2 linked regions of the Diceros bicornis minor genome follow. The protein of the gene in region 1 purifies or fractionates together with the protein of each later gene. This does not show direct contact. Links are inferred from orthologs where the notes say so. Each region holds a gene or a part of one and is shown on either strand. Other genes may lie near its edges.

Region 1 (8,848 bases):
TAATTAGCATTTAGAAAAATTGGACAGTTTCCTGTTTTTTTTTTGCTAGGAAAGATTCACTCTGAGCTAATATCTGTTGCAAATCTCCCCCCAACCTTTTTTTTGCTTCCCAGAGCCCCAGTATATAGTTGTATATTTTAAAGCCCTTCTAGTTCTCCTGTGTGAGCCACCGCCACATCATGGCTACTGACAGGGGAGTGGTGTGGTTCCGTGCCCGGGAACTGACTTGTGCTGCAAAAGCAAAGTGTGCCGAACTTTAACCACTAGGCTGTCAGGGCTTGCTTGACAGTTTCTTCTCATCCTCTTTCCTTTCTCAGCATGACTGTTAATAAATGTATCAAAATTAATTTCTAAACTACAATGGATTTGCAATGTCATCCTCAATGAAATCTATTTAAAGACTCTTTTGGAAATGGGGTCCAGGTTTGTCTGATGTTTCCTAAAATACCTTTCTTTTTTCTTTTTTTTAAATTTATTGTGGTAACATTGGTTTATAACATTATATAAATTTCAGGTATACATCATTATATTTTGATTTCTGTGTAGATTACATCATGTTGACAACCCAAAGACTAATTACAATCAATCTAATCTATACTTTTCTTATCTATTTACTTAGGAGACTCAAGTGAGGGAGTAGGGAGACAAAATTCAGGTTTCTTGCTAACGAGTTTCATCGGATGCTTACTTGCTTCAGAGAAAACAAGTCCTCTTGCACTTGACACCTTTCCCACAGAGACAGTGAAGACTTCCTGGATCACCTTATAGATTGTTAAATGTTAACCATGTGTGTGGCCAGCCCCATGGCAAAGTGGTTAAGTGAGCGTGCTCCACTGCTGGTGGCCTGGGTTCGGATCCCAGGCGTGGACCGATGCACCCGTTGTCAGGCCACGCCGTAGCGGTGTCCCACATAAAGTAGAGGAAGATCGGCAGGGATGTTAGCTCGCGGTCAATCTGCCTCAGCAAAAAGAGGAGGATTGGCATGGATGTTAGCTCAGGGCTGATCTTCCTCACACACACACACAAAAATGTTAACCATGTGATATCTGGGAGATGGCATTACCTGAGTGATTTTAATTTTCCTCTCTGTGCTTTTCTGTATTTAGCAAATTTTCTACAGTAAGTATGCATTTCGTCTATAATTGGGGAAAAAATCCAACCAACTCACTGTTTTGAAAACATATCTTTTATTCCCAGAGTGAGATTCGGCTCAATGTGTAAAAAATATACTGAGAGTTGGGTGATGGGCCTCCTCTTCTTCCACTCCACTCAAGTCAGATGGAGGTAGGGAGAAAATAGACCTGAACACGAATATGACCAATATACCTTGGGCCCATCAAAAATAGCCTCAGATACTGGGATTCTTGCTTCAGCAATATGTTCAGCCTCCTCATCTTAGAGGCAATTTCTGGTAGTCCAAAGTTCTGAGGGGAGGGGGAGAAGAGGGGGTTCCAAGGAAATAGCTCTTGTCTAGAGGGTTTCTTGCAACTTGAACCTGGACATATTTATCCATTGTATCCTGACACCTTAAAAAGGCTTTCAAAGGGAAAACTGAGGGCTCAGAAAAATCCTCCGGCACTTTTCAAGAGTCCCGGATTCCACAGCTAGACTGCCTCACCAAGCACGTTCTAGTTTGGATGGGGTGATGAATCACTTATCATTTCACACCGCCATAAGTGGAGGGCCTTGTGCACTGGGAGCCCTCTTTTCCCTTCCTCTCTCAGCAACCGTCTCTCCCCATGTGGGAAAATGTAGTTTGTGAAACCAGACAAACTGATTCACATAGAAATAACTGTAAAAGTTCCAGAAGGCTAGACAAATAACAGGACCAGTAATTTCAGTGTTCCAGTGATTATAGTTATTGTGCTTAGGAAAAAACTCCTCCCTTCCTGCCCTCATCAACTCCTCCCCTCTGCTGCCCCATTACTGTCCTCACTATTTTTGCAAGGCCAAAGAATCTCTCGAAACGGAATTTCCTTCCTTTTAGGAATCAAGAGTAAACATTTACCCTGCAGTCCACAATATGACCTGTTTTCCTGAATGACTCTTAGTCTTTAACAATAATCTTGGCCCTTGGGGTTAGAGGTGGGTGCTGGGGATTTATCCAGGCAGTTGAGCATAAGAAGTAGTATTACCGCCTACATAATTAGGAGTCGACTAACGCAACTCAGTCTCAAGGCCCTGTCTCCTTTCACTCCCACCTACAAACGAGAATCATAGGATTTTAGAATTGCAAGCAATCTTCATAGATTCGGTAACACACCTCTTCACTATCCAGATGAAGAAGCTCAGGCTCACAGTCCTTAGCGCAGTGCCTGGCACCGAGTAGTACTGAGTAACTATTTACTTTTTTGTTTCTGGCCTAAGTTTTTTCAAAATGACCAGTCCATACTAGAATACAAGGTTCTCACTTTATAATTTTATTTATTTATTTATTTATTTCCCCAAAGCCCAGTAGATAGTTGTATGTCAAGCTGCACATCCTTCTAGTTGCTGTTTGTGGGACGTGGCCTCAGCATGGGCGGAGAAGCGGTGCCTCAGTGCGTGCCAGGGATCGAACCCTGGGCCACCAGCAGCAGAGCGCGCGCACTTAACCGCTAAGCCAAGGGGCCGGCCCAGGTTCTCACTTTAAACGCTGTTTTGTTTCCATTCTATCTCACCGAGTTAAGTGCTTCCATTTGGGTTTACTATAAACTCATTATAGCCAAAAATTTTATTTTTTAACAGCTTTATTGAGATACAATTCACATATCATACAATTCACCAATTTAAAGTGTACAATTCAATGGTTTTTAGTATATTCAGAGTCGTGTATCTATCACCACAATCAATTTTAGAGCATTTTCATTACCTCCCCAAGAAACCCCATACCCATTAGCAATCACCCTTCTTTTCTCTCATTCCTCCAGTCAGCCCTAGGCAACCACTGATCTTTTTTTTTTTTTTCCCCCTTGTCTCCCCAAAGCCCCAGTAGATAGTTGTTGATAGTTGCACATCCCTCTAGTTGCTGTATGTGGGACTCCGCCTCAGCGTGGCCAGACAAGCAGTGCGCCGGTGCACGCCTGGGATCTGAACCCAGGCCACCAGTAGCAGAGCGCGCGCACTCAACGGCTAAGCCACGGGGCTGGCCCTACCACTGATCTTTCATACATGGCTCTTTGTGACTGGTTGCTTTTACCTAGCATAATATATTCAGGATTCATCTATGTTGTGGCATGTACTTCATTCTTTGTATTGCGGAATAATAAATATTCTGTTAGATGCATACACCATATTTTTTAAATCTATTCAACAGTTGATGGGCATATGGCTGAATTTTAAACAATTAAATGTGATCTCTGATAGCAGAAGCTTAAAATCAAGACATAAATATATATCTCATATCTATGTTGAATTTAAAGAAGCATACTTATTATGAAGACTTTATTATAATCTCATACCTGAAAATAAAGACATTTTTTATCTAAATTTTCTTATGTATATAATATTGTGGAAAGACAAAGTAAAGCTTTGTCCTAAGTTTTCCTGTTCCTCTGAATCCCAGCAAAATAGAGGCATATATATATAGGTAGATTGCCTCAGAAACAGCCCTCAGGAAGAGAAAAAAGAAGAGAAAACAAAGATCCAGAGGAAGACCCTTTTTTCTGGTTTTCAAATGTGAGGTTTAGAAGAGAAAGGGCATTTGGGGCTCACACCCAACTAGCTGATCCGCATTCCTGAAACCCTGACACACACACAAACAATATAAAGGTGGATGTGGGGTGATGGTGAGAAAGGGGACAGTACAGGCCGCAAATTCATTCCCATTTGACATCATAAGGCTTAGCACGTTCATTTTTGTCCTTCTGAGTTTATAGATTGGCCCTCGCCCAACCTCCATCCTGTTCTTGTGGGTCTCCAGGTGGGTCCAGATTGGGAGACTTCGGAGGACTAGCTACTGCTTGGTAGGAAGAAGATGAACTTGTAAACATCACGTTGAGGGTATTTATGATCCCAGGAGGTGGCCGATTCCCCCGCTAAACCCTTGTCTATCCAAGTCCTGCCTTCCCTCCCCCTATTCTTAGAGGAACCGGGGCCGCAGAACTCTTGAGTCACCTGCCGCGGAAAGAAGGGGCTTTTGGGAGTGTCTTCCGCTCCGTTTGCAGAGGCTAGATGAGAACACCGGGAAGCGATCCTTGACTCAGCCCGCCTGAGGCTTGGGTGTTGTGTCATTCCCCACACGTGATGCTTTTCCAGGCGGCGGATACCTCACGCATCATGGGACTTATTCACCCCAGTGACTCCACCCCTTTCCTCCTCTACTCCTCAACCCCCTTCTTGCCTCCTCCGCCCCCCTTCAAGACGAGAAGATAAGAGGGTGGCTGGAGGCAGGAAATGCCACTCTCCCAGGCTGGCCAGGAGAAGCAGAGAAAACCCCGAGTTTGGGAAGGTGCGAGACGTGGAGTTACAGTTTTACCCTTCTCCAGAATGCTTTGCACTTCCTCTGTTTTAGGCTATCGTTACTCTCATTATCCCCAGATAGTTCCATCCTATTTGAGACCACCTTATCACTTAGGTAGACCTGGTTTTAGTTAAGGTTTCCCCACTTTCCTCTGACCCCGGAATTCTCAGTCAGAACTGGTCTGAGTCCCCGATCAGCTTTCTTCCCGTTCTAGCCGTGTGACCTTGAGTGAACCACAACTTCTCCGAGCCTACTCTCCATGTCTGGGAAACGCAGGCGAAACGTCTACCGCACCACGCCTGTTGCGCGGAACAAATGAGAAAGTCCTTGTGAGCTGTAAAAAGCAACAGAAGTTAGCTACGTTAATTCTGGACGTGTAGTCACTCTTGCAGAACCCTTCCCTTTCCTTTGGGACCCGCCCTGCAAATCCCGCCTCGTGCTGACAGTTGTCGCCACCCTCCTGTCGCCGTTTTTCCCATTGGCGAACGCACTGTACGCGCGGCGCCGAGTGTTGACGTCACGGCCCCTGCCGGCGCACGATGACGTATTGGCCCCGCCCCGGCCGCTCCTTACCTCCCGCGGGGCCCCGCCCATCGGGCCGACGCGGCGCGAGTCCCGCCCCGCGGGTGACGTGTGCGCGTGAGGCCCGGCCGCCCCGGCAGTTGGTGCAGCGGCGGTTGGGCTGAGGGCGCTTACCCCACCCCTCCCCTCCTCCGGCCCGGGCTCCCACCCCGCCGGGCCCAGCCCCGGCCCTAGCCCCAACCCTAGCCCGAGCCCGAGCCGGGCCCGTCCCGTGCGGGCCCGTGCCGCCCCCTCAGCCGGCGACGCCCCGGGCCGCCCGCCCGCCTGCCCGCCACCATGGAGCTGGAGGACGGTGTGGTGTACCAGGAGGAGCCCGGCGGCTCTGGGGCCGTGATGTCGGAGCGGGTGTCCGGCCTGGCCGGCTCCATCTACCGCGAGTTCGAGCGGCTCATCGGGCGCTACGACGAGGAGGTGGTCAAGGAGCTGATGCCACTGGTGGTGGCCGTGCTGGAGAACCTGGACTCGGTGTTCGCGCAGGACCAGGAGCACCAGGTGGAGCTGGAGCTGCTGCGGGACGACAACGAGCAGCTCATCACCCAGTACGAGCGGGAGAAGGCGCTGCGCAAGCACGCCGAGGAGGTGAGGGCCGGCCGGCCGGCGGGGAGGGCGGGGGCCGGGCCCGAGGGCGGGCCGGGGGCCAGGGGTCGCGGGTCGCGGCCGGGCCTGGCCCGGGAGGGGGGTGCGCCGGGCCTCCTAGGGGCGGGCCTGAGGCCGAGGCCCCCCGACTGAGTCCGGAGGCCGAGAGGTCCCCGGGACCCCCGGCCCGCGTCGGAAGCCGAGGCGGACGAGTGAGTGTCCAGGAGAAGGGAGTGAGATGGGGGAGGCAGGGCCCGGGGAGGAAGCCACAGCCTGGCATGAGGGCACCTGGGGTTGGCTGAGGGCAGAGATTTTAGGATGTCTGGTCGCCTCTTGTAGTTTAGGGAAGCTTCCGACCACCGTAGGATAGTCAGATGGTGGTTCAAACTTTTACCACGACGAGGGGGGGGTGGTGGTGGCATTTAAATATGTATGTAACTTCCGCTGCTTCCAGTACCTTTCCAGGGGGTTGCTGCTTTGGGAAGTTAGAGATCTCCCTCTTTCGGTCAGTTTCTTTTTGATGTTTTAACGCTGTTGAAACAGAGGTTTAATTTTATGTTTTGTATGCCTTGGTTGACACTTTGTCAACACTTAGGTGTTGTAAAGCAATACTCTGTAAATATGGAGAGTATACAACTTTATTTTATGTATCCCACAGCAAAGCATTCCTCCATATCAGGTGGTAACCTTGGACAGTTCCCTTTAAAAACTCTATTTATAAAGAGGACGGGGCGAGGGGCGGGCGGGTTTGAGGAGGTTGTAGGTGACTGCTGGCAACCCATTTCAGACTGCAGTTTACAGGTGCATTTGGCCGGCTCTCAACTCTAGCACCTCAGCAGTGATCTCTGTGCCCTCCCCTCAAGTCTGTGAACCTTTTGGAGCTCTGCGGTGCAGGTGGTCGGTCTTGGACATCTTGAGACAGTCAAGGATTTTAGCTTTCAGGCTGTGTTGGCATTATTTCTGTAGAACTTACCTAATGCAAGTGAAGTGTCCTGTTCATCTTTGTTTCTTGAGCGTGTAGTACACCTGGTGTCTAAATACATGGTGATTGAAGGGAACTAAATGACTAATTATTGAAGGAATGACATGTTCTCTTTCAAAAATACTTGAAAAGTTTTTGGAATGTGAGATTTGTTTCGCAGCTCATTTCCTAACACTAAATAGTACCACCGTTTAAACTTTTTGTCACATAGACCTTTGTACCAGGTCAAATAGTTCTTTTTCAAGCTTTACTGTAGTGATGATTTTTAGTTCTGATTTTGTGAGTCATTTGACTTAAAGGAATGCTGTTATATTTGCCAAACAAAATTGACTTTATTTCAAGAGTATTTCGAAGTATATAGGGAAGGAGGGGTTGAAAAAAATCTAAGGATGGGATCACAATTTCCACTAGTTTAATAGCACGATTTATAGAACAGAGGTCATGTACTGCTTCTGAGAGGGCATGCCATATCTTCATGCCCACACAGGCCCTTGCCAGTGTGTGGATGTACATGGAAAAGACTGGGGAATTAACCACATATACACACAGGTGAGGAGCAGGCCCAGCATGACCTATCACCTGGGGTAAAAGAAATGCTCCCTCCAGCCTTCAACTCCTGTGAGTTCATATAAACATGGGCAAAATGCCAAGGTCACACGTGCCAGGAAAACCATCTGCCACAGGTTGCAGAATCAGAAAATAAAACTGACTAACTGCTGGGCTCTGGGTTATATATTAATTTCGTAAATAAATAACTTTTTAAACATGGGTTATCCAGTGACTTCCTTTGTAATTTATACTTTTTCAAACACATCTATAAATTCTCTCTAATGAAACCTTTTGGCAAAGGGCCATGACCTGAGAATAGAGAACATTGATGAAACGCTAGATGAGCCAACTCCCAGACCACAAACATAAAACCACCTTGTTATCAGTCTTCAAGTAAGATCATAAATCAAGTTTTACCCAGTACCCAGAAATTCATTCTCTCTTAGGCCAATATGCAGAGGTGAATTCTGTGTTTAATTTTCTGTGAGTGCTTTGTTTGTGGCCTTTAATATGGAAACTAAGAGTCTGCTATTAGAGCAAAAGTGCCTCAGGGCATTTACAGCATAAGTATTTGAAAGTATGTAAATGGTCCATCCCCAGAAAGTGTAAAGTAAATTCTAAGCACCTTTGTGGAAATTTAGGAGGGTATGTGAATGGTGAGAATGTTTTAGGAGGTGTGAAGTGCTATAATCTCTTGCTTGCCGGAATTCTCAACAAGAAATCAGAAACTTAATCTTTATTATAATAATATTACTTAATTTGAATACCTTCTGTCTTCTTCTTTGCTTTTATGTGAATGTTTTTGTGTAGAATTAGCCTGCTGTTTTTGTGAGTCTTTAAAAACAACCTAAAGGAGGGCTAATTTTAGGTGGGTTTGTGACCAGTTTCAAATGCTAATCAGGAAATCTTCATCCTGTTGCTCACCTCTCTTCTCTTTGGGCTCTCTACTCCAGCCAGATGTCTTTCCATTCCTTAAGCAAGTCTTGTCTGATGCCTTCGCCCATGCTGTTCCCTTGGCCTACTATGCTTTTCTCTCAGAGCTTCACCTTTTCTAGCTTCTCACTTTCGGCTCAGCTTAAATTTCACTTCTTCATCTAGACCTTGCCTGTCTACTCTATCCACAGTAAGCCCTGCGAATCTATGAATAATTTATTTGTAAATCAGTGATTTTTAAAAACAAAAATCTGGATAGAAAATGATCTGGAGAGAGGTGTTATTCTTGGGAAGAATATGTGTTTTTTTATGTTCTGTTTGTGCAAATTCTTTTAAAATAGACATGATTTGCTTTGAGTAATTAGAAAAAAAAGGAAAACTTCCCTGATAAGTAGGCAAATGAGTTGAAGAACGTTTTTCACAGGAGTTTAGTTCCAAGTGATTCTTTGGGCCTTGTTTGTTGTCACCATTATTTTCATTTTGTTTTATTATTATGTTTTTTGTGTGAGGAAGATCAGCCCTGCGCTAACATCCATGCCAGTCCTCCTCTTTTTGCTGAGGAAGACTGGCCCTGGGCTAACATCCGTGCCCATCTTCCTCTACTTTATGTGGGATGCCGCCACAGCATGGCTTGCCAAGCGGTGCGTCATTGCACGCCCGGGATCTGAACCCGCGAACCCTGGGCCGCCGAAGTGGAGTGTGTGCGCTTAACCGCTATGCCACTGGCCCGGCCCCGTCACCATTATTTTCAAAGTGAGTGTTTTGCATGATTGGGTGGAGGGAGA
Region 2 (8,694 bases), on another chromosome or scaffold:
GTTTAATCTGTGCCAATGTTTTAAGCACTTTGCAAATATAATCATTTAATTCTCATAACAGCTCTACAGGGGGTTATATGACAATATCCCAATTTTACACAATATTCCCATTTTATTTACAAGACAACTTGAGGCATGAAGAGGTTAGTGTTCTGCCTGAGGTCACAAGGGGCAGAGTGATGCTTTGAACCTAGGAAGCCTGGTTTGAAGCATCTGTGCTCAACCACCATACCCAACTCAAGGCTTCAAATTCCTCCTCCTTAGTGTGAGACTTCCCACTGGGCTGTTTCCAGCCCACCCTTCTTTTCCCTCTAGCCCAGGAGTTCTCGAGCCTGGCTGTCAACCCAGGCCCATTACCTGAGAACATGAGAAGAGAGTGCAGGCACAGGTAGTTTTGAAAGCACCCTCGTGATGTAAGTGGCAGCCAAAGCTCCAGATGCAGATCCTTGCAAAGCTCATCTGCTCCCAGCACCCCCCAACAGCCTAGGAACAGCTGCACCTGGATCACCTGCCAGGGTGGGGGCCTCAACACAATTTAAAGTGAAACTCCTCATTCTGGGCACAACAGCAGGCCACACACTCACCACCATCTTCCTCCCTGTGGGGATGTGAGTGCCTACTGTGTGCCACACATCATGGCATGTGGGCAACTGCAGCCTTTCTTCTCCATTTTCCTTGGCTCGGCTGCCCCCTCAAGGAGTATTTTAGAAAGATAGCTCTGGCTGGGGGCGGGTGGATGGGAGGGCCAGTGAGGCCAGTGACAGGTAGGAACCACCTGCAGCAGCCCCCGTGTGAGGGGAGATGGCGGTGGCAAAGGCACTGAATCTGAGTGGCATTTAGGAGTCATGAATGACTGGGCTGGCTGATCTGGGATGAGCTGGGAAGGAGGCCTGGCTAGGCCACTCAGCAAAATTGGATGAGGAGGAGGAAGGAAGAGGAAGGGTTGGAGCCAACAAGACCCTGAGCTGGTTTAGAGAAGCCCTAGGTCACTCACCACTCACACACACAGAGTGCCAGCCCCCTGCGGCCACCTCAGCCATGGCCAGGCCCTGCAGCGCCTCCAACAGCCTGGGCTCCAGCTCTGCCTCCAGAGTCCCGTGGCCCAGCTGTCCATGCCTGAGCAAGGGAGACGCTAGTCAACTAGACACATCAAAGGGTCTCCCTCCCCTTCCCTCCCCATTCACATTCACCTGCCCCCATATGCTCATCTCCCACTCCTGCTACATTTAACCGCCCCCACCCCCCCCACCCCCCGCAAAAAGCCTAGCTGGCCTACACCTGGCCACACCCCCACTCACCTGCCGCCGCCCCAGGAGAACACTTGGCCCGTAGCGTCCAGCAGCAACGCGTGCTCGGCGCCCAGCTCCAGCCGGCGCGCCCGCAGCTCCGGGGCCAGAGGTCGGTAGAAGGGCGGCCGCGGGCTCACGTAGGCGCGGGCGCAGGGCAGCAGGGGCAGCGGCCCAGCCTGGGTCTTGCCGTCCGGTCCGTATTCCCTCTCGGCCTCCGACACCACAGTCTTGACCCAGAGGGGCTCCCCGCGCAGCGCAGACCCGGGCTCCCAGGCCTGCAGCTCCGCCCCGGGCTCGGGGCCCGGCCCCGCGCGCAACACCACGAGCAGCGCCTCCGAAGCCCACGCGTCTCTGCAGCCGCCCGCCGCTCCGCCCGCCGCGCCCGACAGCTCCACCTGGCCTCCACCTGCGGGGGCGGAGAGCGCGCTGGAGAGGGCGTGGGCCGCGAAACCAGCGCCGGGGGCCGGAAGGGGGAGCGGGGGGGGTGCTCACGGCTCACGAAGGCGGTGTAGCTCCAGCTGGCGCTCACGCGGCAGACGTCGAGGCCCGCGCCCGGCGCCCGCAGCGGCTCGGGACTGTGAACCTGGCGCCCGCGCCCCGAGCCCAGCGCCTGCCCGAAGCCGCGGAAACCGAAGCCGAACCAGGAGCCTGGGCGCTCCTCGGCCATGCCCTGAAAGCGCCCTCTGCTGGCCGCCCGCCGGTTGGGGTGGCGGCGGGACGGAGGGTAGGGCTAGAACCGGAGGAGATTCTTGGAGATGAGCCCCTTACGGGACACAGCAGCTGCCTTACCTGTAAAATGGGGAAAATACCATTCTCCTCACCACAGAGGTAGACGATATCCATTACACAAACGTTCGGTGGGCGGGAGCCTTGGCTAACGTCCTAGCAGACTCAGGAAGATTCTGAGCTGTCCAGAGCCGGTACCTTCCTTGTCCTTTTGACTCAAGCAAGCTCAGCGTCCCACAAAGGGAGCATGAGGTATTTAAGTGGCCTCTCCCTGGGGCGTTGGACTAGGATCCGAGCCCCTCCAGATCCAAATTCCCAGTGTCAGGCGCATTATCCCAAGCAGTCTTGGGAACTAGAATCGCCCCCATTTGACAGAAGAGACTCCCAGAGAAGGTAACCCTTACACAGTCACACAGCTTAGGACCAAGAGGGGCAGAGGGCCAAACTCAAGGCCCAGCGACTCCACATACAGTGCTCTTCCCACCAGTGGAAAGCAGAGCGTTGGGAGACAGTACCCCGCACGGGCCACGACCAGCTCCAGGGTTGACGTTTGCCTCTGCAGCTTTGTGTCCTCAGCCAATTCACTTAAGCTCTCTAGGTCCAATTCAGTTTCTTCAGTTTTACTAAGGGGGGGGGGTGTGTAGGGGAGGGTGGTGTTTGTACCTACCTTGTAGAATTGTTTGGAACAGATGCAAACAAAGCGTTCAAGTGCACGCACATACCATGATAAGTGCACTGTAAGTGTTAGCTTATTAAATCCAGTACTTAGAGTTGATAAAAACGACCACTAGTACTTACTGGTTTTCAGGGATCTAGATAAACATAATTTCAACTGGACCTCATCTAGTCATTTAATCGTTCTACAAGCATTTATTGATCCCTTACTCTGGACCCATGAGAACAGCTGTCTGCCCCCAAGGAGCTCACTCATAAATGGGGAGAAAGACGCAAAGTCTAGTGGTTACAACAGCAACGCTGCTTTCTCCGTACAGCATGTTTGGCTTGATCAGAATTCCACAGGCATTTTCAAGCCTCTGAAGTCAGATCCTGGGTCTCTTCCTCGACCAAAGCTCCTTGACCCGGGCCTGGGCTCCTAACCCCTCCCGTGTTCAATTCCAACCCAAGGAGGCCTCTGACCTTGATCTTCACCCTGTGCACCCCTTCAGGCAGCTCCTTCCGATGGGCAATCTGGAGGAAGGAAAGGCCGGGGCGCAGAGCAGCCGCCCGGGAATGGGTCTCCCGCCCAGGACCTGGCTGACAGCCGCCGGGGAGGACAGGTTTGAAGAGCCGCGCCCTGGGCGAGGCGCCCATTGGCTGCCGCAGCCTCCCCGGGGCCAATCGCCGGCGAGGGGGTGACGTAACCGCTCGGGGCGGGCGGCCGCGGGGCATTGCTCACCTCGCGGCTGCAGTCTCCGCTGCGGCCCGTCCAGTCCTACGGGCGTGGAGCCGGTCATCAGGCCTACACTGGGCCGCCGCGGGCTCGGGTGTGAAACTTCCGGTGGGCGCGGGCCCGGGCAGAGGTCGGACCAGGTGGTCCCTCTCCCCACAGGCACTCGCGGGACAGCGAAGCGCGAGTTAGAAGCACCTGGGGAACATTCAGAGCTGAGCTAAAGGGCACCTCCCCGTCACTCCCCTGGGCTTGGGACCGCGGCAGCTCGCTACTGGACATGCGCAGGACTGCCGCCCAACAGGAAGCAGCCATCCTGAGCGGGCGCTCGGCGGGTTTTACCTTCCATTGGCTCGGGACCTGCCACTTATCTCTGTCGATCCAATGAACTTCAAGCTGGGCGGAGCCCGCTATCGGGACGTCCAGCGCGGGCACTTGGGGTCGCCCGCCCCCGCTCCCACCCGGCTTAGCTGCGGGAAGTTCTCGCAGGTTTTTCCATGAGGGAACGGCATGCCCGGGCGACACACCAACCCCAACTCCGAGCACCGCCTGAGTGGAGGTCACTGAGAACTCCCAATACAAAGACAAAGTATTGAAGGGCCAGGATCTAGGAGTCTGTACCCTAAACCCATTTTTCCAGGCGACTGTATAGTTTTTTATTGATCAGCTTCCTCGGTTTACCCCTTGACCCTCCAACAGGGTTAGGACGCAACTCAGCGGGCTCTGGGTGGAATCCATCAGATTCCTTCCGTGGAGGTGGCTCTGCTGCTGCCATAAAGCTCCGCTGTGCTCCACCACAGCCCGCTCCTGCTCCAGACCAGGGCTCACGGCCTGCCCTCCCTGCCCACAGACAGGGCACACATTTGAGTTCCACACACTTTTATTAGAGAGTCAGAGGCAGGCCTGCTAGGAGGCTCAGGTGATGCTCAAGGTGGTGAGGCTGCTCGATGTGCCCTTCCCAGTGCAGGAATCCACAGGCTGAGTCCAGATGCACCTTCCCCATCCCCAGCTGTCTACAGTAGTACAGAAAGGGCCCTGCTGCGTGAGGCTGCAGGCAGTGCTGGCAGAGCAGGGCTGTGACTGAATGTGGCCCCTGACTCAGAACAGAAGACATCAAAGGGCAGCTAGAGAGGAGGCCAGAGTGTTCCGCATCCCAGCCCCCACCAGCAAAAAGCCGTGTCTGTCCTGGCTCCCTGTGCTGTGACAGGTAGCGTGTGCATTAGCAGCCCCTCAGTCTCCATCCTGGTTGAGTTTGATAAGCCCATATTCCACCGCTTTCTCTAGGCAGGCTGCAGCAGCCCTGGTGATGGGGCTCTCCTTGCCCTTAGCCAGCACGGACAGGATCTCCAGCACCTCGCTCTCTATCAGGGTGCTAGCGATCTCTCTCGAGGCCTCCACCATGTTCAACACCACCACAGCGCCCCGGTGCTGCAGCTCCTGGTTGGGGCTCAGAAGCAGGGCCTGCAGGATCTCCAGCCAATGTGTGGTCTGCAGGAAACAGGGCTGTGTGACCACTGAGCAACAGGCTAAACCTTGGCAGGGAACACACTCGCACACCCTGGGACTTCCCCCACCAACTGCCACCATGCTGGGGGGTCCTGGCCCACCTCGCCTCCCCTGCCAAGAAGAGGCACTGACCACTTGGGGGATGCGGCTGCAGAGCGAGGGCCGCATGGAAGTGAGCATGGCCAGGCCCCCCGCAGCCGCCTGCCGGAGCAGCTCATCATCCTCTCCACTGTACAGCACCAGCAGCTTCAGCCGGTCATTGCCCTTGGCTTCAAAGAGGTCCTGCACCTGTGGCCAGATGAGGGGCGTGGACTGAGTCAGCTGAGGCAAAGCCCAGCCAGGGCACAGATATTTCTGCAAGGCTGCCCACCATGACCGCCTGGACCAGCCCTCACCTCCTTGCTCATGGCCAAGTTACACATGCACTCCGTGGCTGCCCGGCGGATCATCTCATGCTCCTCAAACATGTAGCCCTCAATCATGGGCACAGCCTTCTCCTTCAGGATCTTCTGCCTGCAGGGCCGAGGGTGGAAGGCTCAGCATCGTCAGAGCCTCTGCATCCACTGCCCCCACCCCCATATCCCCATACAACCGAGCCCTGGGCTGAGGATTTCTCTGGGCAATGTCCAAAGGCCCTCCTGCACCAGGTATGAACTGCAGGGGTTTCCAGCCTTCTACCCAGGCCTAGGAGATGGCATGGGGCGTGGAATGCTTTCAACCAGGAGTTAGGAGACCAGGGTGGTGGTGATGGTGATGCTAACACCGAACATTTAAGCACTTCCCCTGACCCAGCACTTGGACTACCTTACTCAATCCTCACCACAGCCTTGTGGTGACAGTGCAGGTGTGATCAGCATGACTATTTTGCAAAAGAAGAAACCAAGGCTAAGTAGTGAGTAATGTGCCCAGGGTCACCACTAGTAGTAATAGCTAATATGCATCGACTGGGCACATCGCTAGGAGCCAGGTACCTATGCACTAAGTGCTTTTACATGTATTTTCTCATTTAATTCTCCTCACTACAACTCCATGAGGTAACTACTATAACCATCCCATTTCAGAGGGGGAAACTGAGGCACAGAGTGGTTATGTAACTTGTTTGAGGTTACACCCTGGTACCCAGTGAAGCCAGGATTTGAACCCAGATGGTCTGACTCCAGAGCTGGCACTGTTACTGCCCAGTGATGTGCTCTCTCAGGGAGCGCTGTCCAAATCAAACCGCCTGGCCTGTGTCCTCAGCTGGATGACACAGAGGACTCACTGTGAGGCTCAAATAAAGCCATGACCGAAGAGTGCTTTCCAAACTGTCAAGTGCTTTACTGGGGATAATCTAAACCCTGATGCCCTCCCTACCTGGGCCCCATGTCCCAGGGGACCTTACCGGAGCCTCTCACTGATGCCCGCCAGGTTTGTTAGAGCCATGAGCGCCTCGAAGTTCTGCAGCCCTGAGCAGTTGAGGTGCAACAGGGAGACAAGGGGCCGGACCACCTCATAGATCTGTGACATGCACCCCACCTGTCAGGGCTACTCAGCCCAGTCCCCACCGAGCCCACAGGCGGGGGTCCACCCCCTGAGAGAAGGCTGCCCTCCCCACCCTAGGGCTCAGCAAAGCTGCCACTTCCTATTGAACCCACGGAGGAGCCACAGCCCAGGTCAGAGACCATCAGGGCCCAGTGAGGGGGTGGAGGCCAGGGCTGGGGCAGGAAGACACGTACCCGCTCGCCAGGAAAGGTCATCTCTGGGTTGGAGGTGATGGTGAGCTTGGCGAGAGCCTGGGCTGCCTTTGTCTGCCCCACGTCAGTGCCTTCCAGGGCCAGCGGGAGCAGAGCCTGTAGGGACAAGCCCGTCCGTGTCCAGGATGTGCCCGGGAGCGTAAGGCCCGAACCAGCAGGCCCTGAGCTCTGACTGTCCACCCGCACCTTTCTCCTCCTCTCTCCTCAGGCTTGACAACACTCCCCGCTCAGACCCTCTCCACCTCTCTGAGGTCTCTCATTAAGCTACCCAAACACTTCCTGAAACACCTAGGAAGGGCTAGCCATGGATTGTGCCGGTGCTGGGGCCATGGAGGTCAACGACACAGGGAAAGGGGGAGAGCTCAGGACCTTAACAGGCACAAAGTGCCGGGGGCTCCAATGAACCCGCCCCGTCAGCATCCCTCTCTCAGCAGGAAGATGTTCCTGCCGGTCACTAATAATGTTTCCCATCCCACATCTAAAACTAATCTCTGGTGTGGCAGCCACTGAGTCATGTCTTGTGGACCATCAGGAAGGAGTCTGTAAGCCAGCTTACCTTGCCCCCTCCCTGAGCAACCACAGTGCCGCGGTCCTCCACCTCTTCCACCAACGCCAGGAAGACCCTGCAGAGAGAGGGCGGTAGTGGGGTGGTGGGTGAGTGGGGCCGGGGCCCTGGCAGGTAGACACTCCACTTCTACGCTCGGTGAAGGAAGGCAGCCAAGCGTGTGGCACCGCTGCTCTAGGAGGCCCACAGCACCAGGACCTGCTCCCTCTGTGGCTACATCGGCAGCCTCAAGGCTCAAGAGCTGGGAAGGTCTGGCTCCGCTGAGGCAGGCTCACCTGGAGAGCAGCTCTCGGCAGGAATTCGTCAGCACAGGGCTTTCGGTCTTCACCATGCACGTCATGGCTGACACCACGCCTGCTGCCAGCAGCTTCTTCACCCGAGCCCGCACGAAACTTGGTTTGTCCTGGGGAGGCAGGCAGCTTAACAGAGGGGCCTCGGCTGACTAGACAGGGAAAGGGGGACCCTCTTCACAGCACAAATTGATGAACATGAGAACAAAGGGCAAGAAACCCGCTTAAACAGAAGATTCATCTGCTCTGGATGCACCAGGTCAACCGGTCCCAGTGATACAGAAACCCCCAAACCCCTCCTAGCGGCCCCCTCACCTTCGGGTGCTGCTCAGGCACATGCTGCTTGGCATACTTGGCCAGCTCCACCATCTTGGGGTCGGGCTCCTCGTAGTCATAGCTGTTGGTGCAGTTCACCAGTGCCGAAGCCACCGCAAAGAGCACTGACCTCTCCTCGGACTGCCAGGAGCAGAGGGGCAGTCAGTCAGCCATCCCAGGGGGCAGAGCAGCACTGGGATAAATGCTGCCCAGGCCCCCAGTTCTACCCTCACTGGACCACCTGGGCACCAGGATGAATCTGGAAACCTCCCCAGGCCCCCGCCTGCCCCCGGCCTTTGGGAGCTCACACACTTGACCTCCAACTCCACCAAAGAGACAGTCTTTTCTGACACTGCTGGTGCAGGCCAGTCTGCCCACGCCACCCAGAGCGGCCACTCGGGCCACAAAAGCCACTGGCCAAGACCTGCCAAGAAAGCCAGGTAAGCTCTAATCCTAGGAAGTGTCCCCGGATGACTGGTGCTACCCTGCTCAGCTGGACCAGAGCCTTCAGGGCAGCCTCGTCCTCCACAAACTCTTCCTTCACATCGGCATCGAAGGTGAGGTAGGCCAGGCCCTCCACTGCCCAGCGCCGAGTGCCTGCATCAATCTGGTCATTGCACAGCCACCTGGGGTCATGCAGGGTAGTGGACAAGCATCAGAACTAGCGGGGCAGGAAGGGGCACACCAGGACCAAGGAGTCAAAGCTAGGGGCTTGGGCATCCCCGCCACATACGGAAGCAGTTCACATGGCAGGATCCAGGAGGGTCTGCCTGGGGGAGAGCAGGGCAGTGAGGAGGCCCCACCCTCCACCCAGACCCTCCTCTCTTGAAGTCTAGCTGACAGGTGGTGGGGGAGCCATGGCAACGCCAAACGACTCACTTTC

What was found.
Region 2: the proteins of SPAG9 (region 1) and RCCD1 purify together in Homo sapiens (affinity purification with mass spectrometry; 3 studies listed by BioGRID and IntAct, counting the BioPlex papers as one, with this or other methods). This does not show direct contact. The link is inferred for Diceros bicornis minor from reciprocal best matches to the Homo sapiens genes SPAG9 and RCCD1.

Annotation. Positions count from the first base shown.
Region 1 is NC_080757.1:35,322,252-35,331,099, forward strand, and holds the start of SPAG9 (C-Jun-amino-terminal kinase-interacting protein 4), read left to right. Parts: upstream 1-5,192; 5' UTR 5,193-5,299; coding exon 5,300-5,602; intron 5,603-8,848. UniProt on the Homo sapiens protein: The JNK-interacting protein (JIP) group of scaffold proteins selectively mediates JNK signaling by aggregating specific components of the MAPK cascade to form a functional JNK signaling module.
Region 2 is NC_080744.1:93,958,139-93,966,832, forward strand, and holds the start of RCCD1 (RCC1 domain-containing protein 1), read right to left. Parts: upstream 3,475-8,694; 5' UTR 3,470-3,474; coding exon of another isoform or gene 3,412-3,469; intron 3,389-3,411; exon of another isoform or gene 3,153-3,388; intron 3,145-3,152; exon of another isoform or gene 2,683-3,144; intron 2,561-2,682; exon of another isoform or gene 2,531-2,560; intron 2,079-2,530; 5' UTR 1,957-2,078; coding exon 1,782-1,956; intron 1,696-1,781; coding exon 1,299-1,695; intron 1,117-1,298; coding exon 995-1,116; intron 1-994. Other genes in the region: UNC45A (protein unc-45 homolog A), read right to left, coding at 4,633-4,890, 5,041-5,196, 5,304-5,421, 6,290-6,405, 6,624-6,737, 7,198-7,264, 7,482-7,609, 7,812-7,952 and 2 more. UniProt on the Homo sapiens protein: Plays a role in transcriptional repression of satellite repeats, possibly by regulating H3K36 methylation levels in centromeric regions together with KDM8.